2 linked regions of the Rhinolophus ferrumequinum genome follow. The protein of the gene in region 1 binds, or shares a complex with, the protein of each later gene. Links are inferred from orthologs where the notes say so. Each region holds a gene or a part of one and is shown on either strand. Other genes may lie near its edges.

What was found.
Region 2: the proteins of STK3 (region 1) and RASSF5 are in contact, whole or in part, in a crystal structure (PDB 4LGD), measured with the Homo sapiens proteins. The link is inferred for Rhinolophus ferrumequinum from reciprocal best matches to the Homo sapiens genes STK3 and RASSF5. Residues at the interface, in NP_006272.2 of Homo sapiens: Phe437, Phe439, Leu440, Leu445, Leu448, Gln449, Arg451, Leu452, Leu455, Asp456, Met458, Met459, Glu462, Ile463, Leu466, Arg467, Tyr470, Lys473, Arg474, Pro476, Ile477, Leu478, Ala480, Met481, Lys484, Gln488; in NP_872604.1 of Homo sapiens: Trp369, Asp370, Ala371, Phe372, Ile374, Leu377, Gln378, Phe380, Leu381, Leu384, Glu385, Glu387, Glu388, Lys391, Ile392, Val395, Gln396, Lys398, Tyr399, Phe402, Arg403, Lys405, Leu406, Ala409, Leu410, Ser413.

What each region holds. Positions count from the first base shown.
Region 1 is NC_046297.1:40,654,637-40,671,357, forward strand, and holds the start of STK3 (serine/threonine-protein kinase 3), read right to left. Parts: upstream 8,585-16,721; 5' UTR 8,419-8,584; coding exon 8,393-8,418; intron 1-8,392. UniProt on the Homo sapiens protein: Stress-activated, pro-apoptotic kinase which, following caspase-cleavage, enters the nucleus and induces chromatin condensation followed by internucleosomal DNA fragmentation.
Region 2 is NC_046305.1:24,872,990-24,888,866, forward strand, and holds the start of RASSF5 (ras association domain-containing protein 5), read right to left. Parts: upstream 6,830-15,877; 5' UTR 6,806-6,829; coding exon 6,346-6,805; intron 1-6,345. UniProt on the Homo sapiens protein: Potential tumor suppressor. Seems to be involved in lymphocyte adhesion by linking RAP1A activation upon T-cell receptor or chemokine stimulation to integrin activation.

The sequences.
Region 1 (16,721 bases):
AATTTTCTTTTACCAGGACACCTGAACATTTCAACCACTAACAAAGACTTGGTATGTTTCCAACTCTCTAGTCTAATGCAGTGAAAACAAGAGGTTATAAAAAAGAAGTCAGTGCCCTTAATTTCCTCCCTACCTACTTCTTCTAAGAGAACCACCTAATATCACATTTTGGGCCAAACAGATTCATTTTGTGAGTTTGGAATTCTAAGAAAGAAACTATAGATACCCAAACCTGTTCCTCTCCCAGCCTTCCCCTACCCCCCAAGTTGCTCAAACCCAAAAACAAGGAGTTACAATTGATTATTTGTTCCTCATTCCCCACATCTAGTCTATCTAGTCTATCAGAGAGTCCTTCATTTCTAACTCCAAAATACAACTTAAATCTGTTCACTTCTCTCCATCTCCACTGACTCCACCTTCTCTAGTCATGCACTATTACAATAGCCTCCTAACTTGTTTCCCTGCCTTTATTCTTAACCCTCTACAATCTATTTGACCCAAAGCACCCAGAATGATCTTTTAAACATATAAACTGTTGAAAATTCTGCTTAATGACAGCACTCTATAGTCTAACTTAAATCCAAATTCCTTTCCATGGCCTGCATCAATGAACCCCCGCCCATCTCTCTGACCTCATCTCCAACCACTTTCTCTCATTCTGAGGCAAGTTGGTTAGCATGACATCAGGCAGTCAGGAATTCCCTGGTAGAATGAACAAAAACAGTCATACCTTCAAAGCCTTAGCCCTGAAATAACTCACTCCTACCAGAACAGAAACATCAATTACACTCTGAGGCAGCTGGGTTATTTCAAAAGCCTCCTCCAGTCTGAGCCAGAGCAGACCTGATAAGACCGCACCAGTAGACGCCAGCCTTTCTCCTCAGATATACAAGAAAAAGTATAAAAACATAAGCCTTTTGCCTTAGCTAGTGGGCATTCCAGTCAGGTACCCCCTCTTGTTTGAGAGCTGCATCTCTTTGCTTTAATAAACTGTCCTTTTCTGCAATTCCTTGCCTCTCTGGTCCGTGCTTCCATTCTTCGGTTCCGCAGGACGACAATCCCAGCACACGCATAAAGAAATGTTCCTACATCAATTCCACAACCAAGCTACAGTGGCCTCATTTCAATTCCTCCCACACAGCAAACACTTTCCTACCTTCAGGGTCTTTTTATAGCTTTTACCTCTACCTGGAATACTCTTTCTGGCTACTCACATGGATAACTTCTCAACCTCCTATAGCAGCTTAAGTATTACCTTTCCAGAGAAGCTTCCTCCAACTGCCCTATTAAGCAGGTTCCACCATTTTTCTTTTTCAATACCTGCTACTTCTATCCTTCGTAGCTCAAGCTCCAACTAGAGCGTATGTTCTATCAGGGCAAAGATCCCATCCATTTCATTGAACAGTGTTCCCAGCACTGGCATTTAAAGGCTGCTAATTATTAATTACTAAATATATGAACAAATGAGCAAATGAATCAACTCAAGGCTGACAGTCTATCTCTGTTATGAGCAACGAGCAGAGAGTAAAGAGAATCAGTTTTTAGAAAGAAACGGGAGAATGGGGCAACCCAGCGGGAGCAGGAGAGAAAGAGTGGCTCCAGAGAGAAAGTCAAGGAAATTAGCTGTTTTCCTCAAATATATAGAAAGCTCGCCAAAACTACAAAAATAATTTTAACCTGCATTTCTTTCCAATTACAGGACTCTAGGAAACCAAATATCCTAAAAATGAAAAAAAAGATCCAGACAGATAATAGTATTCTATATTTTGAATACAGAAACTACCTCATCCTTAGAATCACATATGCTCAACAACTTCCCCAATTTTATAAGTGTGGGTGTTTGCGTATGTATTTATCAAGATATCAATATTTACATCAATATTTCTGAAATGTCTGAAAAACCTTACTCAATTCCATCTCTTTACTAAACGTTTGATATATTAACAATTCCCTGTAATTTTCATTTTGCTACAAAGTCATTTCTAAAGATATATTCTTTACTATACTTTTAAGAAGTTCAAGGTAATCTACAGTTTAATATTCATGGCGTGCAAACAATGAACTTATTTTTATTATTCACAGGTCTGTTTATATATTTATTACTTTCACTTATTCAATTTGAGACTCTGTAGGAAAAAAAATTGTAATAAGACATTTCAAATATAGAATCTTTGTTCTAAGAGTAAAAATCTTCTTAATTAGAATAAGCCTAACATATGAGGCAATTCAAATAAAATCACAACAAAAAATAAGCTTGGGACAAACAAAAAAGAAAGTTTCTATCAGGTAATATAAATGTTCTCTTTAGAAAAAAAATCTAAAGACCTTTGGTAGTTATAGAGGGTGGATCTGGTAGGGAGTCAGAAATTGAGGTCACCATAATTATAGTTGGATGTTTCCAGGGCATGGGGCTATTCTACACCAGAAGGCAAATAAGCTTTTGCCTCATGGCAACCTTTATGTATTACATTTTCCTTTGTGAACTCTGTCAGACATTATAGGTAATCATTTTGCACTCTTCCATACTTTAATTGGGATATATATAAAGTGTTCAAAATATAGTAGCTTTAAAATGATAGTTTCCTCTCTCCCCTTCACCTCTTCCCCTTTTAGAATCTTAAAGAATATCTCTAGTGCGTGTACAGGTTGTTATAATTACACCACTCTGGATTCCTTTGACAACCCCATCATCAAGCTTTTAACTGTCAGGATGGAATTAGAAATAAAATCAATTTCCTGACTGTCTCTACTACATACAACAATGTTTTTTCAAACATTAATAGGCCATGAAAATAATTTGGTGAATCATGACCAGCAGTTTTTCAATGAAATGAAACAGAACAGAAAATAGAAAACTACCAGAAAACATCGTACATAGTACGTGTCATGAAATTTCTATTTTAGTTTTACATATATGTGGGTCTGCACTGGATCTCTTCATCAATATTAAAAAACAAAAAATTATTTTTTGAAAGCCACTAATGCATAATGGCCTGAAGTGACAGTTCCTCTAGTTCAACACACTTCTTTGAAATCAGAAAAATTAAATTCTAAGCACTTTTTCCCCCTTACAATCCAAACAAGAAGTACTCAATTTAAACCTTTTATTATTAAAGCTTTACTGATACACACTTCTGGAATGACTATTTAAGTTACATCAGAAAAACAAGCTTCAACCTAGATGTGTTTAATAAATGTTTACCTTTTTCTTAGATTTCTAACAAATTCTTCAGTACTAATATATGCCATATTTCAGCCCCTTAAAGACCAGTGGATAAATTAATCATTGCCTAGAGTTGACTGAAGACTGAGTTTCTTTACTGTCTTAATGTGTAACTAGCTTGCACAGGAACTGATCCAGATTTTGTTGTCACATTTCCTCTAAGAAGGAAGAGGCAATTGATTAATCCCGTCTACAGGGCCCAAATCAACTCTAATGAAGTTGGTGCAACCCCAAATTAACCAAGAAATGCCAAAGGAGCATACTCTGTAGGGACCAAGTCATTAATGCAAAAAGATGTTCCTGTTTGCTCAATTCTTTTCCCCTTGGACTAAGGACACCTCCTGCAGTTGCTTGCCTCTAAAGTTAGGAGTTTCCCCAGGGCCTCCTCCTGAGGCTATACTGCTTTTATTTTGTAAGAGTTCTTAGAGTTCAACTTCTCAAAAACAAAGCCCCACTTTGAGAATCTGTCTGATAATAAGCGCACAAGAATATCGCCTTTCTAACATTCCAGGGACACATGAATTAAGACGATAGACGTAAAATGACGTCCACCCCTCTCTCATTGCAGTGTCTTCATGGTTTTGCTAATACCCTACTTATGGACTTTCCTGGCTTGTTGCTGTCTATTTATCTCCACTCCTAATTTCTGGCCTACAGTCAGGGCTATTCATGCTATAGGCTAATGTGGGCTCAATGTGCTGAGCAAAATATGAATACTTTCCACTTTACCATTCTACATCTTCATCCCTTTCCCTTTGCTTTTGCATTCCATAACAATCTATCTTCTGGCTGATCATCCATTCATTCACAGCAACATTTTCCCATAAGAAATGATTGTTTTCTTGCCTTCAGTCTTCATTTATGTGAGTGCACTTTGCAACCCTAATGTTTAGACTTCAATCTTCAATTTTACTTCCTCCAAACTACCTTTTCATACTATAAAAAAATAAAATTTGCCACAGAATTCAACTATAGCTTAAATCAAAGAACTCCTTTCACCTGTCTTGAGAGTAAGCTTCAGTAACTTACTCTCTCATTATCCTTCCAGTGTTTTTCACTGTTTCACACCAACTTTTCCTTCAAATATACCTTAATCAATGTATTTTAAATTTTAAATAACTATTAATCCCATATTCTAATTGAGGAAAGTATATCTCTCCAGCAATGACATTCTATCTTCTCTTTGACAAGTACTGTATATAACTACCTACCCTCATGCACCCAGAGTTCTCCTTGTTGCCCAGCTGTCTATCAGAGACCCATTTCCTTTCCTATGAATGTTACACTTGGTTAAGAGCCCATGTTTTCGCCATTTCCTTTCTACCTGTCAAACTTATCTATTCCGTGGTCATTTTTATCTCAGCTAGAGGTTCCCCTACAAAGGAATTTGATAAACTCAACTTACAAAATGTTAATAATTAATAACCATTTCATGGATTTCCCTTCCCAGAGAGACGTCATTTTAATAAAGTCTCAGACCTCTGTGACAGACCTGTTATGGAAATCAGGAAATCCAAAAGCCATTCTGGTACCTCATGTCAGTGACATGGGTGACCACATCAATTGCTTATGTTTAATACATGACTTGCTGGGAAGACCAAATCAATAATGTGAGGGAAAGAGGAGCCTTACAGATCTAGTCATGACTCTCAGATCTGGCTGCATATTGGAATCTCCCAATTCGCAGAGGAGAAGAATGATTGCCAAAGAAGCAAATTTCAAAGTTAGCACAAAGCTGAGCCTAACACCCAGGCCTAACACTACATCAGATATATATGAACAACATGCTAAAAGTGTAACACAAGTATGAAAATGACAAATACCCAGTTCAAGACAGAAACAACCCTGTGGGGGATGGGGAAGTAATGCAACTGAGAACAGATATACTTAGGGGGCTTCAACCGAATTGGTAATATTTTATTTCTAAAGCTGGGTAGTGATGCGTAAGTATTGATTAAATTAGTCCCCATTCATTATCTTTTGTATGTTTAAAATTTTATAATTAAAAAAGAGCAATATGACCATGGCATATACTCAAGTGAATATCATATTAGGAATACAGGGAAATATCTCAGGCTAGAAAGTACTCAAATAAGATACTTTATGAAGCAGGCCTGGAAAGAAAAATAAAACAACACAGGTTACTAGCAAAAAACAACACAAACTTTTCTAAAGGAAAAGCATGAACAAAGGCAAAGTTTGGAGTACCCACAGCCTACAACCAAAATAAAGAACAAAAGGGAAACTTCAGGACAAACTGATCTTGGAGAATAGTAACACAAGGCTGGAAGTTAAGGCTTGAGATTAAGTGATGGGAGCCTTGGGTACAAAACTGACTAGTGTGCCCCAACCCTCCCCCCCACAAAAAAAAAGGAGTAGCATGAATGAAGTGCTGCTTTAGAAAAATAAATCAGAAGCCATGTGGAGGATGAACTAAAGCAAACATGAATCATTAGGAGGTTCTGTAGGACAGCAAAAGGCGAATAGAAGGAGGCAAGGCCCTGGGGACCAGGTTCTAGTGCCCTGCCCTACTCCACACAGAGCCCTTCTGCTGCTCAAATTTTTGAAAATTGGACTACAGTGCCCAGATGGAAGGCACTGCTATAAATCAAGCGTGAAGGTCATAAAACCCAGCAATATGGAGGGTAGAAGTACTGAAAATCAAAAGGGGGAGAAATGAATCCATATACTTTTTGATGAATAATTTGATAGGATCTAGTGACAACTAGAAGGGATAATGAAAGAGTGGATCTACATGAAAAATCAAAACTACTAACTGAGCAGCAGCCGCTACTCGGACAGACTTGAACATCAGCAACATAAATGTGACCATGTAAAAATGGCTGAGCCTTAAGGAAGTGCTACTCAACACAGAAAGAAAGAAAAGCAAAGGACCATTCTTACAGGGATTAAGTTAACAAGCAAAGGGGACCAGAAAATTGTAGAAAGAGTTGACCACCACATCATGGAATGCTTAGAAAGCAAGCAAGGGTTTCAAAAAGAGGCATCACTGTACACAATGAGAGGGTGCACAGCCTTTGCAGCCAGTCTGGAGATTCTGGCACCTCCTCCACCTGACCAAGTTATTTAACCTCTCTGAGCTTCATTTAATAAGGAAAACATAAACTAACAACATTATAGAGCACATGATAGAGCACTGTGCTAAGTGCTTCTCACATGACCTCATTTACTCCTCACAACACATTCTTACTGATGAAGAGATTAAATTTAGAAGTAGCATAGTAAACTGCTAACCAGGATTCCTATTTCTTAAGACAATAAAATAAAGGAATGTATATATAAAGCTCCTGGCAAACAGTATGATCTCAGAAATGGTAGCTATATTTCATTATTAGAAGGTAATGATTAATAGGGACAATACAAAAACTCACTATCGGTTCTCTCTCTCATAGCCTTCCATGCGGCAAACTCTCTTAGTGTCCTCATCTACAAAATAGGATTAAACGCCTGTAACCTAACATACTCAACAGGGTTGCTATAAGGATTAAATGATATTATGAAAATGAAAATATTATGAAAAAAAATTTAAGAGATATTCAAATATATGGAATTGTCATTTATCTTTTGCTCTGCAAAAATGCCTTCCTGGATTAACATGTGTCTCTTAAAAGAGCTAAAACTAAGTCTGCTAAATGTGTAACCAGTACTTTAAAAAATGTAAGTTACCATGAAATGGTGAAGTATGCCACCCACCCTTCGCCCTGACCCCTCCAGGTTCTCTAATGTACTTGCAAAGGCAGAGGTTCTCTTACATCTATAATGAAACTGTGATAACAGAGTAGAGCTAATCAGAATAGAGGTCTACTTCAATTTAGAGTTGTTCAAGTTGGCCTTAGGGTGTTAGCTTAGAGGTTCCCCTTACAGTACTTCCAAAACAAAAAAGGAAAAAAAAGTTTCCTGTTTTTTTCACTAGTATTAAAACTGAGTGCCCAATCAATACTAGAATTCTGGTACTTTACAAAATGCCAGAGAAGAATCTATCAAGGGCTGTCTGATAGCAGGTCTCTTGGAAACCTCTCTCTCTCTCTCTCTCTCTCTCTCTCTCTCTCTCTCTCTCTCTCTCTCTCTCTCTCTCTCTCACACACACACACACACACACACACCGCCTCCCTTTTCACCTGAACAGATGGTTTCCAGGCCTCAAGGCTCACATATCTAGTCACCCGATTCACAATGGCTCACAAAGTTCCTACCTTTTTAATTATTTCATGTTCTTGAATATACCACTTTCCATCTAAAGATCTCTACGTATCAAAAATCACAAAACTCATCTTCACAACAGCACTATCTGGGAGAGAGATTAATACCCTTATTTTATAAACTAAAACTGAAAAACTGAAGTTAAATGTTTTTTTAATCCAGCATCACTTAGTTGATTGATTCATTTGGGGGTTGGGGGGAAAGCACATTACAAACTTAAGTAAATGAATAGCCTTGATTTAGCTTTCTAAGATCACTTCAAATATTAGCTCAAACTATCTACTGTGTACTCTTACACTTCCAATACATCAAAGATTAAATATAACAGTAAATACCAAAACATCACTATTTTTATATGCTAAAAGAAAAAACAAAAACAAAAGTATATGGGGGAGGGGTTCTAGTTTAAGATTCCTGTCTTGCATCCATAAATACTTCTGAACTTGAGGGGGCTGAGGAACACCTGTCAGTGCGGCATATCCACAAGTTTTACAGGCTGTGTAGCTATGAATATATAATTCCTTAAACTGTAAATAAACCCGCCTTCTCAAAAAAGTAAAAAGGTAATATTATTTTTTAAATTTGACAAGAAAGTCGACATGGTTTTAAGAAGCCCATTAATTTCCTAGTTTTACGTCTCCTTGGCTTCGTGAACTTGCCACGGGGGAAAACTCTGCCCGTCCCGGGAGTCTGGCCGCGGGGAGCCCGGCAATGCCCGACTTTCCACGCGCGCCAGGCCGGGCGCGGGGCAGGCGACGGTCCGTCTCCCCTCTCACCCCCTCGCCCCGCGCAGAGACGCGGCCGGGCACTGGGACCAGCCTCCCGACCCCCGGTAGGCCCGGCTCCGGGCCCGGCAATCCGGGAGGTTGTCACCGTCCGGCCCGGCCTAGCCGCCCCCGCCCTGCGACCGCCGCCTTCCTCCCTCTCCCCGCTCCCCGCGTTTGTTACCTCTTGGGCGCCGGCGGCTGCTCCATGGCGGCCGGGGGCAGAAGGGACCGGGGTGGGCGGCGAAAGCGGGAGGGAGGAAAGAAGCCGAGGCACTGGCCAGCGGAGCCCAGGAACCACACAGGGAAACTCCAGGAACTCGGAACAACTTTCCCGTAACTCCGCGGCGGATCCCCCTCCCGCTCCAGAGTGCGGCTCCTCCCGCACCGCCCCGCCCCTCAGCCGCAGGTCGCGGTCCAGGGAGGGTGGGCGGAGCCAGGCTCTGGGCAACGAGGGCGGATTCGGCGGCGGAGGGAAGAGCTGGCCTTCGTACAGGGAAGGGGAAAAAAATGAGGAGAAATTGAAAGAGCGAGAGAGCAAGGCCTAGTCAGGACCCAGAGCCTCTGTAAGCTGGCCAGGGGTGTATGCGTTTGAGCTGGCACTCCTCACTTGCCCTCATTGTTTTTGCCCCAATTCGATTTGATTCATTTTTCTAGATTTCTCAAGGATACATCTTCTGCAGCTGTTTGAAGTAGCACTAACTGCCCACGCACGCTTCCCTGTCTAGTTCTGTTTATAATTATTCATTATATTTTCCTCCAGCCATTTGACATTTGTAGCTACAGTTAAGGATACTTAGTACTATATCTGGAAATTCTTTTTGATTTTGTGGACAATCTCCTCACTACATTTCACAATAATTATGTCTAATTACAAAGAAAACAATTAGTGCAGTGAGCTCTCTCAGTGCACCAGATTCAATGCGGGCTGTTCAACTGGGTAACCTGGCAAACTGAACAAATTGTGATGCGTAGAAACGTACTCAAGGAAAGTTTGTTTCCTTCCCTCTTGTCACCCTTTCCTTCCGATTTCTTCCCAAAGCACTTATGCCATTGTAATTTGACCCCTTCCTGCATCCCTGTTGTGTGTATACCGGAACCTTAAATTCTGTCTATAAGTATCTTTGTTATGACCACATACAGCTACTATATAATGGCTTTGCTTTTGACAGAAGTTGTCAAGATGTAGTGTCATATAGAGCTTTTGAAGAATAGAACAAAGAATATGAAGAGACTGTTGAATAAAGAAACTTTATGAACATCAACTCAAACTTGTCTATTAATAGTTATTCCTCTTTTTGCATTATTTTGTTTCACAATGTAATAAACTAACATGATTTATTTTCAAACCATTACATTGCCCCCTAAATTTAGTTATTTTAAGTTTGTAAAGACCATTTATTATTGAAACCTAAGCCAAATTCTGTAAACAAGAGAGATTATTGCAGAATTTTATATTATTTTGTTTATTGAAGATCCACAGTCTAACAGTTCAGAAGTAACAGGACCAAAAACTAAGGTATTAAAATGTTAAAGCTAGGAAGAACCTTTGAAATTTCATTATTCTATCTCTCACTCTCATCCTCACTTCTATGCTCTATTCCCATCTTCTTATATTTTGTTAGAAAAATCTTTCAGAGAAGGTCATTTCACCCTTTTAAAAAAATTGTCACATTTTAAAATGGGCTCAAATTTTCATACTTTAAAATGGACTCTTAATTATGTTACCAACCTTAATCTCCAGGAAGCCTTTCCCAGCCAAGCTCACAACATCATCACCCCACTACTTCCGACACTTTGGTGAAAGAGATGCTTCTTATATGTGACTATAACACTGTGCTGGCTTTTTGTATAGTGCTTATTGCACTGTATTGAAGTTCTGTTTATTTGACTGACATCATAACCCAACTGTGAGTCTGCTGGGAAATGGACTATTTCTTTATTTTCTCTGTCCCTTGCATAGCAAGTGCCTTATACATAGTTAGGACACGGGGTTGGATAGCTTCCTTTTGTTCCCCCAAATTCACTCTCCATCCTTTTCCATCAGTTTTCTGTCCTGAAGGCTAACCTGTATGGCTCACATCACTGAGCTCCCGCCCCCTTGATTTATGGTTGTGTCTGATGATGTTACTGGCACAGGGCCCCTTGCCCCTCTCAGAATAGAAATCAAGAGAGTAAGCAAACAGTTTTGCAGAGAGACAAGTTTATCAAAGCAAAAGCTTGATGCACCAAAGGAGCACACTCCAAAAGAGAATGGATGTGGCTTCCCAAGGCTTACAGGAGCTGCAGTTTTATAGGCTCTTGGGTTCAGGGCCACCTCTTCCTCTTTCCCTTCTTCTTCCCCAAAATATACTGAGGCGTGTCCTACACCTCGCCTGTCCAGTGTACCTACTGCAAATTCAGGTGTTGCATGTCTCATTAGCATTTTAAATTCCACTTATGAGAGTGCTTTTTACTATGATGATAAGGAAAAGTTAACTATAGGACAGCTCTTTTAACTAATGCACACGCACAACCTTAGAAACTTTCCCTAGACCCGCTTCTCTCTCCTCAGATTATGGTTCTGTCTGCTCATTGTTTCTTATTGGCCAGGAATGCTGCTCAAGGTTGTTTTCTCCAGCTGCAGGTTCTGGCTACGTGAGTACCCCACTTGACCACTGACCACAGTGAGGGCCACAGGACTATAAGATCAGGCTATTTATTCCCCTGGTATCCTTCCTGTGAGGTAACCTAGGGTGAAACTCTGCTTGCTTCTTCTTGTCTCTTTGGGCTTATAGATGGTGACTATTCTACTATTCCCTGGATTCCTCTTCTATTCCTTATGTTCCCCTATACCTCAAACCTCCTCAAATGACCCTACCTTCAAAAGGGTTTCCTATGGGAACGCTGACTGAGACACCCATAAAGAAGGTTTGTGGAAGGAGGAGGAATAATATCAGAAAAATCTCTAAGGTCTCCCCTCAATTTGAAAGGGAGAGAACTAACAATTATTGTATGACTTTAATAAGATCAGACACTTGGCCTGCATTATCTCATTAAACCCTTAAAACTGCCTCATTAGGTAGTTGTTTTTACTTTACAGGTGAAAAAACTGAGGTTCAAAAGGGTGAAGAGAGTTACTCTAGGCCAAACAGAAAATCTGCACTGTACCCCAGGCCTTTACAACTGCAATACCAAGCCTTATCCCACTGTAAGTCAGTCAGTAAATATTTACTGAATACTTACGCATGCCGTTCTAGGTACTGGGGATTCATCAGAAAAGAAAATAGACAAAAATTCATGCCCTCATGAGGTTTATATTCTGGGTGGGGAAACATAATAAGGTAAATAAGAAACTAATCAATAATATTAGGTACTAAAAACTGGTGAGGAAGAAAAATAAAATATGGAAAGGAAATATAAAGTGGAGGGGAAGGGATGAAATTTAGATAGGGTGGCTAAGGAAGGCCTTAATGAGAGGGCAACTAAAGAAATTCAGGGGAGAGCCATACAGATTGCTTTAAGAAGAGACTGTGAGGCCAAAGGAAGTACTAAGGCCCCAAGGCCAGTGTGCCTGGCATGTCATGCGTTACTGAATAAAAGGAATTGTTTTTTTCCTGAGTTACTCAGAAAAAAAAAAAGGGCTCAAGTCCCTGTTTTAATTTGCCTATAGAAAGCAGCCTGAAGATTCCAAGAAACAAAGCATAGACATCCTCATTCAACCTACGAATAAGAGGCAGCAAGCCTTCATGAACACATGAAAGCTATAGGAAAATTTGAGATTCAGATAAGGGTCACTCAGCTTCACTTAACTGTGAAAGTAGGGTAATCTGTTTCTGCTTCCAACTGTTCCAATTAGAATCAAGATTAAGTACACGCTTTAATTATACTAGAAAACAGCTCACCAGAATTCTCAACTGAGTGCTCCAAGAGAAATTTGAGAAAAATCTGCAATTTGGGACCCAGTTCCTTTTGAATAACAAAAATGCATTCGTTGTCACAGAATACATACATCACCATGTTTTATGAGGAGAAATATATTAAGATAAAATAAGTTTTTCCTTGTTATACTAGTTGCTGCTGTTTATTAAAACTACATGTTTCTGGGTGGCTGGGTGGCTCAGGTCGTTGTAGCGCTGTGCTCCTAACACCGAGGTGGCCGGTTTGATTCCCACATGGGCCAGTAAGCTCCACCCTCTACAGCTAGATTGTGAACAATGGCTCCACCTGGAGCTGGACTGCCATGGGCAGCTGTGAGTGGCCATGAGCTGCTGTGAGCAGCCAGTCGGCAGCCAGCCGGCAGCCAGCGACCGGCTGGCTCAGCCAGGTAGAACACAATGCTCATAACACCAACATGGGCCAGTGAACTGCGTCCTCCCCAATTAGACTGAGAACAATGGCCCCAATCGAAGTTGGGAGGGGAGGGGGGGAAGGGGAAAAAAAGCAAAACTACTTTTTTTCTTATTTTTAAATTTGAACAATAATACTAATTAACAACTGTCAATCTTTTCTACTATTACCAGGAAGCGTTTGGGACAAAGAGAAAACTCTGGTCTAATATATTACACTATGTGACTTTATTTCCAGAGAAATTCAGAACTATTCCTTTCAACGGTGAGTTTACAAAGCATTTTCTCTAGATTGGTTTCTTTTTTCCAACATAATTTTATAGTTAGCCTGAAATTGGCATATTGCTTTTGAATTCAACCACTATCCTCTTTTATCATAGCAATTTAAAAGTTGTATTTTACTTATTTGTTTCCCTAACAAAACTGTAAGCTTCTTAGCAATAAGGATAGTATCTTAGTCATATTTGTCATCACAAAAGTCTTGCATATCAGTTAACTACAAGTAACAACTCAAAATGATTTTTAAAACAAGAAGCCTAGAAGTGGTGTTTGTAGGTTTGATTCTTTGATTTGCTTTCATTTCCTGCTCTACTGTGCACAGCAGGTTCTCTTCATGCTATCTCCCTATCCTCAAACAATGACCACCAAAGTTCCAGGCATCACATGGAGACATGAGAATGTCCAGCAACAGAAGAGGGTTATTTTTTTATGAATGCTACCATTTAAGATGGTGGGGAAAACGATTCTAAAAGACTTCTGCAGGTGACCGTTCATATCCTATTGTCCAGAACTATGTCACAGACCCATCTCTGAAAAAGGAAATGGTGTCACAAAAACCTGCTTAAACCAATTGTGATTTACCACCATGGAGTTGGGCTTGAAGTTGAGGCTGAGACCAGCATTCCCTGAAGTATATGGCCAGGAGAAGCATGAGAGAAGGACAAAATTAAAATCTACTATTAAGAAATAATGGAAAAATTGTTATTAGGCAACAGCCTATAATGTCTGCTAAATATATGTACCTAGAATATTACAGTCATTGAATAAATGTTTGTTGAATGAATGAATGGATTTCCATACAAAGAAAACATCAAGACATTTAGAAACATAGATAATTCATAAACTACATGTTAAGTGAAAGTGAGTGTACCATTGGTCATTTGCCATTTATTTTCTCTCAGTTCCAAATTCATCCTTCATTGCCTGCTCTGTTTAAATGGAGCTAGGTCCTCCAAGCTGAACAGAAATTCTATAACAAGGGACATACAGAAGAAGAAACGTTGAAACTAGTAGGAGAGTCAGAGATGTGGAACAGGTTGGTCCCACACCCACCTGTGGCAGTTAAAAATCGGGATGGATATCTCGGCTACAGAGGTCACTTCTGAGAAAAGAGGGGCCCCAGCCATACACCAGGCTTCCCAATCCAGGGTTCCAGTGCCAGGAAGAGAAGTCCCCACAACTTCTAGCTGTGAAAACAGCAGAGATGGTGGCTAAGTGAGACAGAGGGTGGCTAGAGTCCCAGATATTCCTCTAAAATGGTCCACGCATGCACTTACCTGCTGACTGACTCACTCGCTCAGAGATCTAGCACTAGAGCATCAGCTCAAAAGGTGCCAGGGACATATTGAGAATAAATGAATTGTCTGGTTTCAAGGTGAGAGCTGGAGAAGCAGCTTTCTTCCAGACAGAAGTGCTGCTGGAAGGCATTGTTCTTTTGCTAAGCCTCCCCTACTCCCAGCATGCAGATGTAACCTAGTGCCATATCTGAGTCTCCATCAACCTGGCTAATACTCTTCATCCCACCCTGGTGATTCCCTGAGACCTTGCCCCACCCAACTTGTATGTCCACTGAAACAGATTTCAGTGGGTTATTCATAAAAATGGCCTGTCTTGGCTCATGCTTCAAACTTCCCTGAAATCTCTCAAAGGTTCACAAACCCCAAACAAGGAACATCTGGCCTAGGCATGCCCTGTACCACTTACTAGGCAGCCCCAAGCCTGGAACTAGCGGCAGTTGAACTTGGTTTGAACCTTAGCCTCTCCCAGGCACCTTCAAGTCCAGCTCGGTTTGCTTTGGAGCCCAGACAGCCATCTGCAGATTGCTTTGTGGTTCATTCTGAGCGGCCTCAAGGAGGCCACACACTGCAGCTGAACTTGGTGAGGCCACTCCCAGGAAGCCCTGTGGCTGGCACACCAAGTGGCTGGCTCTGGACTGCACTGGAACACCATCTTGCTGTCTGTCGTGAGGGGTGTCAGGCGGGGTATCCGGTCCCACTCCCCACACAAAAACTCAGGACATGGTGAGGCCAAAAAGGAACACCCACGGAGCCATAGGTAGGGGAGTCATACCACTATACTCTCACTGGCGGCTGGGTTGGAGACACAGGAACCAGGAGCAACACAATTCTCAACCCTCACTGCGCCGTTTGCAGACTCAGCACCATCTTCTTGCTAGCTCCCCCTTTTTTTTTTCGCTAGCGTAGCCACAGCAGTTATATTCGTGACCAATGGCTCACTGGTTACAGCTGACGGCCAACTAGCCACAGCTGCTGGCCATTTGATCACAGTCGATGGCCATTTACTACCTGAGCCAGCACCTTTCTATGTGAGGCCGAGAGCCTGGAAACTGCTTTTTGGGGCTCTGTCCCCACACTGTCTCTGAGGACAACACAACCCAAGGGCAGACTGTGAAAGTACCAGATACCTGCTAAAGTGAATCCTGCTCCACAGGGTCAGCCCCTGCACAACAGCTGCTCCAGTGTAGTCATGCCCAGTCCTCACAACCAATCTGCCCAAGGGTCAATCCCTCCTATTAATGTGCAAACAGCCACCAAGCCTCAACTACAACAGGGGGGCACACACAATCCACACAAGGGACACACTTGGAGCACCCAGCTAAGGTGACCAGGGAGACTGAGCTACTGGGCCCCCAGAACACCTACTACATAAGGTCACTCTACTAAGACCAGGAGACATAGCATCTCTACCTAATACATAAACACAAACGCAGGGAAGCATCCAAAATGGAGAGACAAAGAAACATGTCCCACATGAAAGAACAGAACAAAACTCCAGAAAAAGAACTAAACAAAATGGAGATAAGCAACCTATCAGAAACAGAGTTCCAAACAGTGGTTATAAGGGTGCTCAATGATCTCAGAAAGAACTTCAACAAAGAGATAGGAAACATAGAAATGGAGAAAGAAAACATAGAGAAGAACCTGCCAGAAATGAAGAATATAATAAATAAAATAAAGAATACATTAGAGGGAATCAATAGTGATAAGATGAAGCAGAGGGTCAAATCAGTGATTTGGAAGATAAGGTAGCAGAAAACACCCAATTAGAATAACAACAAAAAAGAGTCCAAAAAAATGAAGATAGTGTAAGGGACCTTGGGGACAACATCAAAAATACCAACATTCGCATCATAGGTGTACAAAAGGAGAAGAAAAAGAAAAAGGAATTGAAAACCTATTTGAAGAAATAATGATGGAAAATTTCCTTAACCTGGCAAAGGAAATAGACATATAAGCAAGGACATAGACATGTAATAGGAAATAGACATGTAAGCACAGAGTCCTGCATAAGATGAACTCAAACCCACACCAAGACACATTATAATTAAAATGCCAAAGCTTAAAGACAAAGAAAGAATCTTAAAAAGCAGCAAGAGAAAAGCAGTTAGCTACCTATAAGGGAGCTCCCATTAGACTGTTAGATGATTTCTCAACAGAAACTACCGGCCAGAAGGGATTGGCATGAAATATTCAAAGTGATGAAAAGCAAGGACCTACAACTAAGATTGCTTACTCAGCAAAGTTATCATATAGAATCAAAGGACAGATAAAGAGCTTCCCAGACAAGAAAAAGCTAAAGGAATTCATAACCACAAAACCAGTATTACAAGAAATGTTAAAGGTTGTGCTCGCTTCAGCAGCACATATACAAGAAATGTTAAAGGGACTTCTTTGACAACAAGAAGAAAAAAGATCAAAAATATGAATAATAAAATGGCAATAACTATATATCTATCAACCATTACTTTAAATGTAAATGGATTAAATGCTCCAATCAAAAGATAGGGTGGCTGAATGGATAAGAAAACAAGACCCTTATGTATACTCCCTACCAGAGACTCATTTCAGATCCAAAGACACACACAGACTGAAAATTAAAGGGATG
Region 2 (15,877 bases), on another chromosome or scaffold:
TTTTAGGCCTGACTTTAGTGACCCTGTGGTCTGATTTCTTAAAGGTCCATAGAAGCCAACTTTTCATTTTCTCGCAGCTCTAGCCAGTAGCCACTGTAAAGGTCTGGGTAATATCTGCCCCGCCCTGGAAATGATTGTTCAAGAAACAGGGACAAACAAGAGCAGAAGGTGGCATGCAGGCCCTCCACCGGAGAGTAAATATGACCTAGCCCACTGCGGCCACAGGTGAGTGACATACTTGGCTACCTGCCCGCCACCCCGGGACACACAGGAATGAACAGACTACACTTCCCCACACCACCCTTCCTACAAACCCTCAGCACAATGTCAGATCACACTTGTCCCCCTGACGCTCTCAATGGGGCCAGGGCAATAGGTGTGGGGAGGACAATCCTGAAGAGAATCTGGGACCTTTTACAATAACCAGGGGTCACCAGATCCCTCAGCCAAAACAGGGTATTCTCCACAGGGAGACTGGGCACATGCTACCAGGCCAGGAAAGACTCCTTCCCCTCCAAAAAGGGCAATATAAAAACCAAACATCACATCTTTTCTTACGGGTGCACGTCTCAAGAACTTTCTCTATGCCAGGAACCACAGGCAGGCTAGAACAGACCCCACCTGAAGTTGCCAGCCACTATGGCCAAAGACCAAACCATGCTCTGCCTATGTCTCCTCAGCATGGAGTGTGGAGTGTTTCAAAGAACACCCAAATATCACCTCCTCAGGTCTGAGTCATAATAGTCTTGACTTTGAGGGCAGGTCTCCCCATGACAACTCCCTAGCACCAATTTTATTCCACTTAAGCCAGTGCCTCCAGGGACTGCCCGGTCTGACATCATCACTTTGGCCTCCTCGCTCTGTCCCCAAGCCTAAGTTGGCTCAGCATCCCTCCCAACACCAAGATCTGGCCCCAAACATGTGGAGAGACGTTTGCCAAAACTCTTGGAAAAAACTGAAAGTGACTAAATGTACAACCATCTCCGCAGTCAGGGCTGGCCTTGCTAGCATCAGCTGCTGCCAGCACTTCCCGAGCCTGCCAGGGGAAAGCCGGACCGAGCCCCGCAGGAGGGGTGGGTGGCCAAGGTCAGCAGAGGAGGCAGGAGGCCATCTGGAAAGGCAGAAAGCATCCTGCCACCAGCACAGGCCGGACCTGCCAGCATGCTGAGGAGACCACACCAGGGGGTGCTGATTGAGGCATGGGTGGGGCGTCAGGGGGAATGATCTCTTTACATGCTTTGCACACCCACAAATACTCACCCACCAAAGAATAGTCACCTCCTCACCCAAGGAATGCAAACAAGAAGGGCCTCCCATGAGGCCAGAGATGTGTTTACAGCTCCCTCACCAGCCTTAATGGTATCCTGGGCAGGGCAAGAGTGCCCAGCAGCTCCTTCCATGAGGAAACTGAGGAATGAGGGAGGGTGTGGGGAGCCAAAGAGGGCCCCATGGGACAGCAGTTGGGGGGCTGTCTCTGATACAGAGGTGCTGGGCACAGACCAAAGGAGGGAAATGGCTTGATAGCCACAGATGTCCCCAAGGCCTTCCAGGCCAGTCTGGTTCGCCCTAATCCTACCCTGCCCCTAGGCAGGTGGACTGACGACTCCCACCCACATGAGACCTCAGCAGAGGCCTCTCCAAGTTCTGACCTCAGGAAGCTATTCCAAGGATGTATGGCAGGAACAATGAAAACACTTTGGGCTCTTCAGAGAAAAGGCACAATTGACCTGCAAAGAATTCTTCCGGTGTCATTCTCCCAGTGGGCTGGGCCTGCCATGAGCCTCAGCCACCCCTCTAGAGCCTTTGGCGCATGCCCAGGGCAGGTGAGTCACTTCACCAGCCAGTCAGGGCCCTTGGGGCTGAGTTGGGGGCTGTCCTTCCCCTGTCACTCAGGGCCTAGCTGCCAGTCTTGTCATAGGCTGATTCACTGGTAAACTTGGGGAGAAGAGAGAGGATCCCAGACCAAACCCTCAGTATAGAGGGGAGATGTCAATTCATGTCCACCTAATAACTTGCAGGATCAGCAGGCGAACACACACGTTCATGACCAAGTCTAATTAGGCTGGCAGACAAGTGGCATTAATCATTTTTGACTGTACCTGGGATTCAAGCCCCTCTCACTCCATAATCAGAAAATTTCATGCTCTGATGATAAAGCCTACATTTAATCCTTTCACTTTCATCTTTTGAGAAGACAGGAAGCGGGGAGGAGAGGAAACAGGCACCGCTTAGGGACCTCAGAGGGACTCTCTCAGCATTCCAGGTCTTTTCTCTGTCCCTCCACACTCCACTAGGATCTTTCTCAAGAAGAAGACACCAGTTAGAGTCGGGGGCAGGAGAGGGACGGGAAGTCGCAGATTCCACCATCTGTAACAACACAGCATTCCTCTCAGGGCTTCATTTTCCTAACATCCAAAGCCAAACATGGGTCTGAGTCTATGAAAATACTTCAAGCCACACACCTCAGCACTGGTGGATGCATTGGACAAGTAAAATATCATCCAAGTGCCCAGGGTTCCTGTACAGGGAGACTCACGTCAATGTCCCAGTAACCTCTTCTACAAAGAACCCACGACAAGGTGTGGGCCTGCATGACCTGACGACGGCTGTCACACGGGTGGTTCCAGTCTGCAGAGAGAGGCGGGTTAAGCCCAGCCATTCATGCAGTGACAAGGCAGGGCTGGAAAGGCTAGACAAGGGGCCCTGTGAGACACCAGCCTCATTCACCAAGAAAGTCCCCCTCCCCACCCCTGAGGACCATGGCAAATGCCTCATACTCACACCATAACTAATGTGTATCACAGGAAGGGTAAGTTAGGATGATAAGCCCCAGGGCCCCCCTTTCAACCCTATAATTCCAATCACTTCACACTTCATAGCTCTGAACAACGCCCCTTCCAGAGAGACAGGCTCCGGGAGCAGATGCATGGCACTCACTGGCAATATGCAAGGTACGTCCAAGCAATCCTCTTGGTTGAGTGGGACTTAGGTTTCCCCATTTTCCAGATCAGTCTCTGGTCCAGGAAGGCTTACACATCCACCAAAATGAGGTGAAAAGTCAAATGTCAACCTAATGTGCCTTCTACAGAGAAAAGGGTCTATGATAAGGGATATTCCCTGAGAACAAAGCTGAAAGACAGTTGCTGAGGTTCTCATGTTGACCATTCCCTCCTGGAGTGCTGGAAATGGATATTCTCACCCCTGCCACTGCCCCCACCCCAAAACACACGCACACATTCACACAACCACCTCTCTCTCTCTCTCTCTCTCTCTCTCTCTCTCTCTCTCTCTCTCTCCCCTCCCACCAATCCTCATTGGATTTCCTTCTCTATCTAACAAACACGATTCCTTCGATCCTGGAAATTAATATTAACCCTGAACCGCCCTGTTGGCAAATCCAGCATTAACCAGAGCTCAGATACAGACCTTGAAGCAGGGGTAAGCTTAAATTAGAGTAACTTTCACTAAAAAGGCAGGCAGTTTTCTAAAAGCTTCCCTTATTAAAAGCCCATTTTGCCAACAGGGCTCCCACCAGTGTCAGCCTCCTGCTCAGACAGATGTCATTCACATACCCACTGCCCTTCTGCTTGCTTCCAAGAGCAAGGAGCTTTAATAGTAATAAGCTGCCGCCTTCGTCAGCCACTCCTTACTGAGCGTGTGGTCTACGATACAAAGACAAGGTGCCAGCATCCTGGTGACCACTAAGCCACTGACGTTCTGTGAGGATGCTCCTCAGCCAGCAGGCAGAGTGACCGTGTCTAGAGGACACTGATACCTGCACTTCCGGGGATACTAATGGCACGCGCTACCCCACTTAGCTAAGCAGCCAGACAGCATCTGAAAACTGCACGCATTGCTTGGGAAGGTGATCCTAAGAAGTGTCCCAAACCCAGACAAACTGTCACAACTGTTGAGTGGGAGGGGATAATAGTAACATTCACATTGCATTAAACATTCATATTGCATTTTTTAGGCACTGTTCTAAGTGCTTTATATATATCAATTCATTTCATTCTGACAGTAACATGATGAAATAGGTAATGTTATCTTCCCCATTTTTTAAAACAAGGAATCGGAACACAGAGATTCCCAGGGGCACATTGAGACTTGGTGGCAGAGTTCACACCCTGGATGCACACCCTGGTCTTCTGCTTCCAGGCTGTGCTCTTAATCATTGCATACTGCTGCCTTTTACAAGTCGTACTTCAGACCCTTGCTTTTTAGAACAAAGATAAAATAAACCAACCCTGCCATGGAATTAGACCTTCAGTTTAAAGAAAGATGCTCAGTGAGTTCGGCTTGCTGTGTCTCCACCTACCCGTCCTCATTTTCACATCAGAATATTTCTTAACTGTTCCCATCCAGTCGCAGGCCCACAATTAAATATCTGTAATGACAAACAGAGACTCCTCTCCATAGCCCCTTGATTCCAGCTCTGCTCTCTCTCTCTCTGGTGTTCAGATATCCCTGGTTGGTATTAAACCTATGCAAGTGCCACCAAGTCACACAAAGTCAGAGGAAATGTCCATGCACCTGGGTCTTCCTGCCATGAGAAACTATTTATGAACCAATCGAAGGAAATAAAGTTTAATGTGAAGTTAACATCAATTCATTTAGTCATAGAGTATCATGCATATGCACATACAAACACACACAAATACACTGTTACCACCACCCCCCCAATCATAAAACTATGCAAAATGTTCAACAACTGATATAGTCCCCAAACATCTTAATACAAAATAAAATTCCAGTGAAGCAGATTCCCGGGAATCCCACACAATAAAACCCATTACAGTGAGGATACTGCCTCTGTGTCGACAGGGTTGGTGATCATAGTAAAGTACTCCAAGAGCCTTGAAAAGGCCAAAGCTGCCAACACATCCGCGGGCATTCAATTCTACGGGAAGGTCAGGGGCATTTACCAGTGATAACAGCCCTCCACCCACATACACACCTCTACAACTTTTGCTCTTTCCTTTTTAATCGGCATCTGAACTGTGAGTTCTGGTGTTGGAGGGACTAGCACCCCCTTCCCCCTCCAATCTTCCCCTTCCATTTAACCCTGGCTTAGATTCTGAGCTCTCTTCCCCTGCCGCCAGCTGCAATGGGAGGCATACTGTACAGCCTCAGCTGTGGACCGGCTGCAGAGAGGCAAGGTAGGGTTTTCCTGACGTGGAAGTAGCTGGTGCTGTCCAATGGTGCAGCTAGATGGGAGATCATGGGGGAAGGGCCCTTGCTGAAAGATGCAAACCACAATCCATTTCCAGAGATGCTTGCTAGAGTTATTCCATTGTCTGTGCTTTGTGCCTCAGATATTTTAAATACATATATAAACACATAAACACATGGATATCCTCTGCCAAACATGGGCAACAGCAAAAATGGGGGGATGGAGGTGGGGAGAGGACACCCATGAAAAAAACACACACATCTAAAACTGTAGGAAGAGAAAAATAATAAACTCCCAAGAATATTGCAGATTGGCTCAGAAAATCTGCACGCTTGGTGCCTAGTGTTTTCTAGTCAGATTTGAGAAGAGCCTGACTCAGGAGGAGGCCAGAGGGGCTTGAGAGCTCTGGGGATGAAGGGACCAGGCCAGAGTTGGGTAATTTTAGAGCATGATGACAGATGCAGTTACATAGGAGGAAGAAGAGGAGGTAGCAGGGCAGAGTCAAACATTAGAGCAGAGTCCAAAGGTTTGAGGGGCCAGAGGTAGAAAGCAGGAGGGGGCACAGGTCCAGGGTGACCTCCGACTCTCTTCAGCCTCACAGCTGTTTCTATCCAAAGCCTAACCAGGTCTCCTTCCTGTCCCAACAGGGCCCCCTGGAGGATGTACCATACAGGGACATGTACCATGGGCCTCCTATACCATAGATGAACAAACATGCCATTTTGTCATTAACCCTTAATAAGCACGGGTCAAATCGCCAACTCAATACCAGTTTCACTCTCACAACTCTTTCTCAAGAACCTACAACAAAAGCAAGAGGGTGCTCAGGAGACAACGGAATGACCTTGCGTCTTCCACCATCAACCCCAACCTGCGTGTCTGTGTGTGTGTGTGTGCGTGTGTGTGTATACACGTGTGTATCTGGGGGGGGATAGGTATGCACCCGTCAGGAGAAGGTATTTACTAAATACCGCAGAACCAAATCTGGGCAGTAGGCAGTCACTAAAAGATACCCGACAGCGGACTAAGAAGCAGTCTCCAGGGCTTATCTCCCTTAAAGTTGAGGAATCCCCTGGAGCCAGGGAGCGCAATGCCCTCTCCCGGTCCCAGCCGCTCGCCCATTGACTGCGGTCTTCCCGCGCGCCCCTCCCCTTGCCCACCGTCATACTCACTAGCGCAGCGCAGCGCCTGCTGCAGCACTTCTTGGCCGCACAGGTCACACCAGCCTCTGCCGCTCCGCAGCGCCAGTTGCGCGAAGCAGTGCCCCTCGCCTCGCTCCGCCGGGACGCGGGGATCCTGCGGCTGCTCGAAGATGCTCCGCACATCGCGGGGTCGGGGCGCTCCAGGCCGCCGCCGCAGTCTCTGCTGCAGACCAGGCCGGAGAGGGCGAGCGGGGCGGGAGGCTCGGGGTGGGGGCTCCGGGTCCCCTCGGGCAGCCCTTCGGGCGCTGCGCCCCTCGTGCGCCCCGGGCGCAGTGGAGAGGGGCGCGGGGGCACAGCGGCACGAGGACCGGCCGGGAGGCGGCGGCGGCGGCGGCTCCGGGCCGCTCAGGCTCTGCAGATAGCGCGGCGGTTCTGGGTCCAAGAGCAGCCGGTACGGGCGTTGCCCGATGGCCGGGGACGCCATGGCCATGCCAGGCACGCGGCGGCGGCGTTACTCCCGAGTCCTCCTCGAGAGGAGGGCGGCCCCAGACCAGCGGCCTTTAAAGGGACCGCAGGCTGCGGGGCGGGGCGGGGGCGGGGAGACTCCGGAGAGGCAGGAAGGACGACCCCAGGGAACCGCGGACCAACCAAGCCGCAGGGTTGGCAGTGGGGGGTGCCCGAGTGGGTGTGGATTTCGGGGCGTCTTCAGGAAGCGGACTGGTCAGCTGGAGCAACTGGAGGATTTCGTATGGGAAAGACTCTATTCGGTACAACTCAGATGAAGCATTTCTGTAGAGGGCCGTCTGCCTTCAGCCCGCCTCTATCCCTCTCCCGTCATTTCCCCGCACACCATTCACCCCCACCCGCACCCCAACACGCCCAGGTGAGAGGGCGGGCGGAAGGAAGGGCTTGGGAGCTAGCAGGGAATGGAGTCTAACGAGAAGTCCATGGCTAGGTAGGTGTCCGCCCGCCACGCTCCCTGTTTCCAGCGGACCGGAGGGATGTGCTCCTTTGCTCTTTCTCCCTCCCACTCTGCCCCCTGCCCCCCCCGCCCCCCCCGCCCCCGGCGAGCCAAGCCCCGCGGTAGTCGGAAATGCTGGGCTCTCTCTCTCACTCCCACAGCCGCGCGGAGTCCGGTGATGCGGGGGAACGCGCCGGGGGCGGAGGGGACGCTGCAGATGCTGACCCCAAGAAGCTGTCCCCCGCGGCGGGCGAGGCTATCCGCGTGCGACTTTCACTCTCCGTGGATTTCCCCTCTATTAGCTGCCCTGCCGGTAGGATATTCCTTGCCCAGAAGAGTGAGGTTAGGGTAACCACGGGCCCTGGATTGTGAGAACACTCTAGCGGCCCGTGGGTTGGGAGAGCTTTACTTCCAAAACCAAACCCTCCTGTCCTCCGCTGTTATAATTACTGTGGAAATACCAGCCCCGCACCCCCCTCACACACACCAAAGCCCTACTTTGTATCTGATATTGACAGCTCACCTGTGGGACCCAAGTACAGATCCCTTTGCTACCAGCATCACGACCATCTCCGTCACCCCCCCCCACTTTAATGCTCTGCTGTCACGGTCCTGATAGCCTTAATAATTTTTTAACAAAGGGCCCACAAATTATATAGCGGGTCCTGATTATCTCTCATAGGTGAGGAAACGGAACTCCTGGATCTTGGAACTTGTGTCTTGACATAGACCAGTTGTATGACCCTGGGCCCTCTTTACCTCTATGGTTTTAACTGTAAATTAGTCTGGGAGTGAGGGGACAGGTGTATGCTTTTGTAGTCCTTACCAGCTCCACCACGCTGACTCAGTGATCACTGCCTGTCCTCTTAAAACTCGGGTAGGGGTTGGTTGGTTTATCAGAAGTCACCAGAAACCAATTTTAGGAATAGTCTAAATTCTTCTAGCTCTCAGACTCCTCCTCTTCCCAGGCTAGAGATGGGTCTCCCCCTAGTGTCTGATGGGGGGAATCTCCACCTTTGCTTTTCATTTTCCCCTCGGAGTAATTTTTAGGTAATTCCTAGCAATTCTAGTCTAGTGGCCAGGGAATTCCCAGCCTGCTTTGGTCCATGGCTTCTCCCTCAGGGCAGGGATGATCATAGAGTCCTCTGCGTTTGTAGCAGAGGACATGTTGCAGGGTCCCTGGATCTCACCAGAGGCTGGAAATTCTCACCTCATGATGTGGTTTCTGGGTAGGTGGGAAGAATGACCCACAGCAACAAACACCACAGAGCTACAAAGAGGAGTTGAGATGAAGAATTGTGAGCCACCAGCCACCCCCTTCTCCCCTACTCCACCTTTCCTCTCCCCTGTCTGAAATTTGCTTTCTCTTCATCAGCGGTTTTCAAACTTTGGCATGCATGGCAATCACCCGGAGGGCTTGTTAAATCACAGATTAGTGCACCACCACCACCACCACCACCCCCATACACACACAGAGTTTCTGAGTCAGTGTGTCTGGGGCAGAGGTTTGATATTTTACATTTTTAACAAGTGCCCAGGTGGTACTGATGCTGCTGTTCCAGGAACCCCACTGCTCCAGATCTAAGATGGTGATAAGAGAATGGGTTTCTCCATCCTTTTCCCCACAGGGCAGGTGAAGTGCAGTGGGACATGACTGAGCAAAACCCAATGGGAGGGCTATTCTGGAATGCTTTCAGCTGAATGTTTAAAAAGGAAAGTACAGTTCGCCTTTGTGCTCTCTTATTCCCATCTCTCCCACTTTTTTCTGCAAGCTGGCTCTCAGGGTTATGCAGAAACCTGTACTGCATATAAATATTTGCTTGTTTCCACCCTGTGTTATCTATCCATCTCCACCAACTTGAGACTCGTTCTGGAGCTCACTCCCACCCAGGAGTGAGTGAGGTTTAGGGTGTGGACCGAGTGTGAGCTCTGGGTGCCAGCTTGGTGTGGCAAGAAGAGGGGACCTGGCAAAGAGTTCATTACTGGGAGGCAGTTTTGAAATGCCATTTGTGAAAAAATTGCCAGCAATCACATCTATGCTCTTTACCACCACCCCCCACCACCCCCCAAGCATGAGTTTGGTCAACTCAGGCCAGATTCCCAGGATAGAGAGGCTCATTGAATGAGTGTCTCCTCTGGCCCTGGAAGACTGAAGACTATATGGAATAATCAGGCATAACAAAACAAACAAACAAAAAAACCCTTCCCCCTTGCCTGAGCTGTACAGAAAAATGCCCTGGTTTCTGTTTTCCTGAGGCAGCTCTGCAGCAGGAGAAGTGGGTGCTGGCTGCTCTCAGCACTAAGTGGGGGAGGATACCCCCACTATGCAGGCCCAGAGCCATACATTTAGCTTCTGGAGGGGACAGAGATGAAAATGGAGATAGCATAACTTCATGTAACCAATCCAAAAGTTTATCAAGTTTATCTTAAGGTTCATCTCCCTGAGCCAAGAAATTGAGGTCTGGAGAGGTAGTTGCCTTGCCCGAACCCAGCAGAAGCCTCCCTGCCTATGACTTGCTCCTCTGATGCCATCTTTCCCAACACAGTCCAGTCCTGTCCCTTCTTCCTTGAAAGAACATCCCCTCCCTCCCACGCGTGCACACAAGGACGCATCTCATTCCTTAGTACTCCCAAGGGAAGCACAAACGACTATGTAAACTCTGTTTTCATTGTAGGGTCAGGGCAATGTCTGATGCTTGAACTTCAGCATTGTTTGGCTCAGTCTTTGTCATGCAGGCTACACGGGTAAGACCACAGCATCAGCAGGGGAGACACCTCCACTGTGAGCTTTTCCCTATGTTAGCAGATCCTCGTGGCCCAGAGCCATTGACTTTTTCTGTTTGTGACTCACTCCCTGAGGAGTGGGTGTGCTGTTTTTACTTTTGACGGGGGAAGCATTATGATAGTGAGTTTGAGTTGTGTGGTCAGTGTGTGAAGTCATTTCCGAGGTGGTCCCCGAGAGTGTCGGTTCCCCCACTGGGTGAGTTGTTTCAAGGCTGCCCCCCAACCCCCTACTGAGCTTCCTAGTAGGAAGGAAAAGGGAAGGACACAAGTGCCCTGACTTTCTGAAGGGGAAGTTTTTGGTTTTGTTTGGCTTTGAGGCATTTGAAGTCTCCTGAAATCCCCGAAGCGTTTAGGGAGCTCCCAGTGACTCTGACAGCTCTGCTCTCTGCATAGGATCACGGCACCTGTCAGGACAGGTTAGGTTACGCTGCGGTAATAATCAACCCCCAAATCTCCGTGCCTTTAAACCAGAGACTTTTTCTCTCACATAACCTTTATGTTTGGCAGGGGGGCTCTGTTCATCAAAACTACTCAGGGACCTCATCTAATGTTGCCAGTCACCATGCCAGAGGGAAGTCGAGAGAGCCCGGAGGGTCCTCCACCAGACTTTAAAAGCGCCAGTCACTTCTGCTCACAACTCATTGGCCAGAACTGGTTACACAGCCCACCCTACACAAGGGAGCAAGAAGTGCAACCCTACCGTGTGCTCAGAATGGGAAAAGAGCTCATCACTACCACAGTCTCCAAAGGCACAGAGCAGCTATTTATTTAACAAGCAATTATTAAATATCCATGATATATCAGGTGCTGTTCTGGGCACTAAAAGTACAGTGGTGACATAGACATGTTCCTGAAGCTTACATTTTAGTGGGAAGGCCAGAAAATAAACATACAAACATAAGTGTAATACAATGTCAGGTTATAAGTGTTATGATGAAAAATGACGCACATTATGGGAATAGAAAGTGACAGGGGCTGATATTAGATTGGGTGGTCTCTGAGGAGCAGACATTTAAATATAGACCTGAATGGAGAAAGCCCTGTGTCTCTGAGCAAGGGTGGTACAGACTGAGGCAACAAGAGGCAGCCCTCCACCCCCACTTTCCCAAACTTTATGAGTATGAGTTTGTTCCAAACCCCAAACCCCACCTCCAGAGATTGATTCAGTAAGTCTGGATATTGTCCTGTATTTTATAAGAGAGTTTGATTAACGTGACTCACAGACCATGCTTTGAAAATGTGACCAAGGCAGTAGGTTGTGTGATGTGGGATTGTGTGACCGCTCCAGAGACATTTGAGAGAAAACACTCTGACCCTTGTTAATTGCAGGATTCTAGCTCTCCGAGCTACTTCCTTCCCTTCTTGGGCAGCTTGTCCCACACAGAGCTCAGCCTCCCAAGGAAGTGGATGTTGTTTGCAATGTGTAATTAGGGTCAGTAATACCTTCCATTGCTAGACTATGAGCAGGGACCATGACAAAACGTTGTCAGGGAATTAAAATGTTTGTGAAAGTCCCTTGAAAATCCTCATGTTATACGTATTTACTCAAGAAATGCACATCGAACACCTATAATGTGGCAGGCACTCATGGCTTGAATGACTTCATCTTCATGGCCACTCTGTGAAATGGCTGGTACTCCTATCTTACAGATGAGAAAAAGGAAGCTCAGAGAAGTCATGTGACTGGCCCAAAAACGTGTCACAGTCTGGACTCAAATCCATGATTTTGCCTTTGCACTGCCCGGCTGATGTGGTAAAAGCGACAGTGTTTAAAAATCTCTGATCTCTCTTTGTAGGTGCAGTTTAAAGATCAGCAAAATCTTGCTCCATTTTTCTTTCCCTATCAAATCCTGTTTGACTTTGAAGGTCTAGTCCAAGTGCCAGGTCTTCCACAGAGCCTTCCCAAGTCACCGAGAACTAATTCATCATTCTTTCCTCTGGGCTGTCATTGTCGCTTGTGTCTCTAATATTACATCCTAACATGAATCACAATTAAAATTTGACATTTCTGCCTCCCTCACTTGGGTCTTGTTGGTCTTTCTGATCACACTACGCAGGGCAAATAGGAGATGTTCCTTAAATGTTTAATGAATGAACGCTGCTGTAGCTCCCCACCTGTACCTAATCCAGGACTTAACTCTTTTTTTTTTAATTGGGGAATATTGGGAAACAGTATGTTTTTCTAGGGCCCATGAGCTCCAAGTCAAGTCGTTGTCCTTCCATATAGTTGTGGAGGGCGCAGATCACAACTAGAACACTGAGGCAGAGTTTGCGACGTCCTGCAGAGAACATGTGAATGGCCCAGCATGGGCAGATCCACTGAAATAGGCACTGTCCCCCCTTACAGCTGAGGCAGAGAAGCCATTCTAACGGTTCACAGGCCCATGTGGGAATTCAACCGGCAACCCTGTTAAGAGCTGGTGCTCTAACCAATAAGAGCTCGTGCTCTAACCAATTGAGCCATCCAGCTGCCCAGGACTTAACTCTTAACATCCCTTTAAGCCATGGCATCTGTGTGAGGGGTGGGGTGGAGGGAGATGAAGGAATTGTCTGATCTAGGGAGAGTAGAAGGTGCTAAAGAACTGCTGGGCCTGGGTGGAAGTGGGGATGGTACTGAAAACTCCAGTTAAGACTCATGTACATGCTCCAAAGTTGCTGGTCGCTGGGGTGGTCCTGACTCTAGGTGCTAGTAACTGGCCAGGGGTGAGGGCTGGTAGGTCACCATTCCCACTACAGGGGACGGGGCTTTCTTTGTGTCACCAAACTCGAGCGCTCCCATGGGGATCATGTAGGTCTTTGACAGTGCTTGGGGACAAGAAGGGCAAACCAGGGTGGGAATGTGAGCAGGCTTTGGAGGGCTCCATGTTGGGTGAGAGTGGGTGGGGCTTGTTTTCAAGCAGCTCAGTGGCGCCTCCTCTGTCTCAGTTATGGAATTTTCCCATGCCAGGCCACTATGCCAGGCTTATGATAAGAATTATTTGTGTGTGTATGTTTCTTATTTCTGTGTTGGAAAAACTCAGATATTCCGTGCACTTTCGTCAGCAGCTTTTTCTCCTCAGGCAGAGGGAAGCCTCCAAGCCACAGCCACTTACATTCCAGCACTAATCCAGCTCTGGGCTCGTCGCTGTGGCAGGAAGCCATGGACTGGGATTGTGACAGGCCAGCAGGAGAAGAGTGGCCTGGATGACCTCATAGGCTATCCCTGCTCCCACCCAGTCCACCACACACACCCCTCTCTCTCCTCTGTGTCTGTCTTATTCCTCTCATTTCTGCTCCTTCTCCCCATCATTCTTTCTCCCTTTCCTTCTCCTTCCCTCCTAATCCCTTGCCCTCCCCACCCCTCCATTTCTCTCCATTCTTCTCTCCTTCCTTCCCATCCTCTCTCCTTTCCTCACTCCCTGCCTCTCTGTCTGGCAAAGGGTACAAGGAAAGGACCCAACTGTTTCAAGTGCCTGCTGTAATTCTGAGCTTCCAAGAAAAATAGAACTGAAGCTACTTGGGGTCATCCTGGCCATCCCTTATCACCTCCCATTGGGGTTGCCTGATTCAGGATCCTTTGTAAGATGGAGGGCAAAGACTCCAGGAGTCCCACCCTTCACAAAATCATGGAAGCAGTTTGGAAGTGATCCCCAAATGACCAGTGCTGGGAATCCTTTGAGCTCTCCCCTGCTAACGTGAGGCAGGCCCATGAGAGCAAATGGTGGGTCCAGCAGGAAAGTGGGCAGGCCATTGTGGAGCTCTACCCTGTCCATTAGAATGGCTTCTCTGCCTCAGCTGTTGGGGGGGGGGGGGCAGTGCCTATTTCAGTGGACCTGCCCATGCTGGGCCATTCACATGTCCTCTGCAGGACAGCTGCAAACTCTGCCTCAGCGTTCTCAGACTTTGGCTTGTGTAAGAATCACAGCGTGATGAGGGGGGAAGCTCATCAACAATGCAGGATCCTGGGCCACACCCTTATCGACTGGACTCAGGCGGTGTGTGGGGTCCCAGAATCTGTGTTTTGAACCTGGACACCAGCTTATAAAGTGGAAACTACGTGGATTCTGAGACAGACAGAGATACAGCCCTGCAGTATCAGAGTGCGAGAGCAGCACCAGGCCCTCCAGAGCTGGCTGCACATCCTGCCTGCAAACTGGGACATGTCCCCCATCTCCTTCCAGTTAGGCCCCCTTCAACTTGAGCCAGCCTGTTTTAAGAGGCCACGAATCTGACTGCTGGGTGGACACTTCCCAGATATTTGTGACTGATCTGAGCCACTGACAGCCGCTCTGAGATGAGAGCTTGTGTTTCTTCACCCACCTGGTATGGGGGGGCCTCATAGCCGAGGGGGGTGGCGTGGGGAGGGTGGGCAGAGAGCTCACATTGTGTTTCAGGCACTCTGTGGAAATATCTAATCTATTCCTACCCATAAAAAGATGTATCTTTAAAATACCAGTTGGACTTGACCTAAACCTGTTTCTATGGATCCCTGGGGAAAAACCCAAGTTCCTTAGTGTGGCCTGTGAGGACCTTTGGGTCTGGCTCCTCCCTTTCCTCAGCATCTACTTCCTACTTCTATTAGGTTGGTGCAAAAGTAATTGCGGTTTAAAAGGTTAAAAATAATTGCAAAACCCGCAATTACTTTTGCACCACCTTAATACTTACTCTCCAGTGACACGAATACTTGTGATTCTTTCCGCGCCGAGGCTGGTGCTGTTCCCACTGCTGGGGATGCCTTCCATGCCTTCTTTCCTAGGTAACTCAGCTGATCTGCCAAGCCCCCACCCTGGAGTCACCTGCTCCCCAACTCCGTCCCCAACACCCTCTCAGACTAAACCAAGCACCCTGCCCTGTGGTGGTGGTGACAGTGAAATGACACTGCACTCGAGCTGTGCATTCTCATCACAGCCCCCTCCTTGTGAAACTGAAATGCCTGCCTCCCCCGAGGGAGCTCCTCAGGGGCAGGCAATGCGTCTTAGTCACTTGGTTCACTGCAGGTACTTACTTCACGTCTGAGGAACTGAACAGTCTCTTCTTTTGAAGTGTTACGTTAGGAATCACCACAGAGAACAGTGAGGGAAGTTTAAGAGGTCTTCAGGTACCTGAGGATCTTACAAGGTTCTTCTGGCCATGGGCCTTGGTCCAGTTGCTTACTCCCTGCTGAGATGGAATCAGAAGCTCTGCAGAACTTTAGGTGGGTGGAAGCACCCACGCCAGTGGCTCTGCCCAACACAGGAACAAACTGAAGCCTTTGAGTATGTCCCCTGATAGGCTTTGCTCATGAGATCATAGAGCCTGGATCATATCGTCCCGCAACAATCTGCACTTGGCTTTCAGGGATCCCCTGGCTCTCTTGCTGAGCTCCACCAAACACGTGGGGTCCAGAGGCAGCCACAGCTGCCAGGGAAAACCCACTGTGGGATTTCCCTGCAGAGCCATTAAAGAGCCAGAAGAGCCTGAACTCATGCTGGCAGAGCCGACCGTAGGTGGCCCAGTGAACAGAGGCAGCAGTTGGCTCCTGGGGCCCCAGAATCAGAACCCAGTAGGCTTAAGTGACCCATGGGTATGAGGCCCAAATGGCATATATGAAGCCACTTAGGCCTGATGCAAATAACGCCCCAGCAACCCTCCCCTAGATCTTTAGAGATTGCTTGTCTTTCCGTAGAGAAGCTGCATGGAGGATGTCAGATGCCAGGACCAAGCTTGCCTCCCTTCTGTCCCGACAGGTCAAGCAGAGGGGCCTCTGAGGACATGGAGACAACAGGAAGTTAGGCAGGAAGGATTTCTGGGGTTATGCGTAATATTGCCTTCATGCTTTAAAGCATCAAGTAGGGCTTC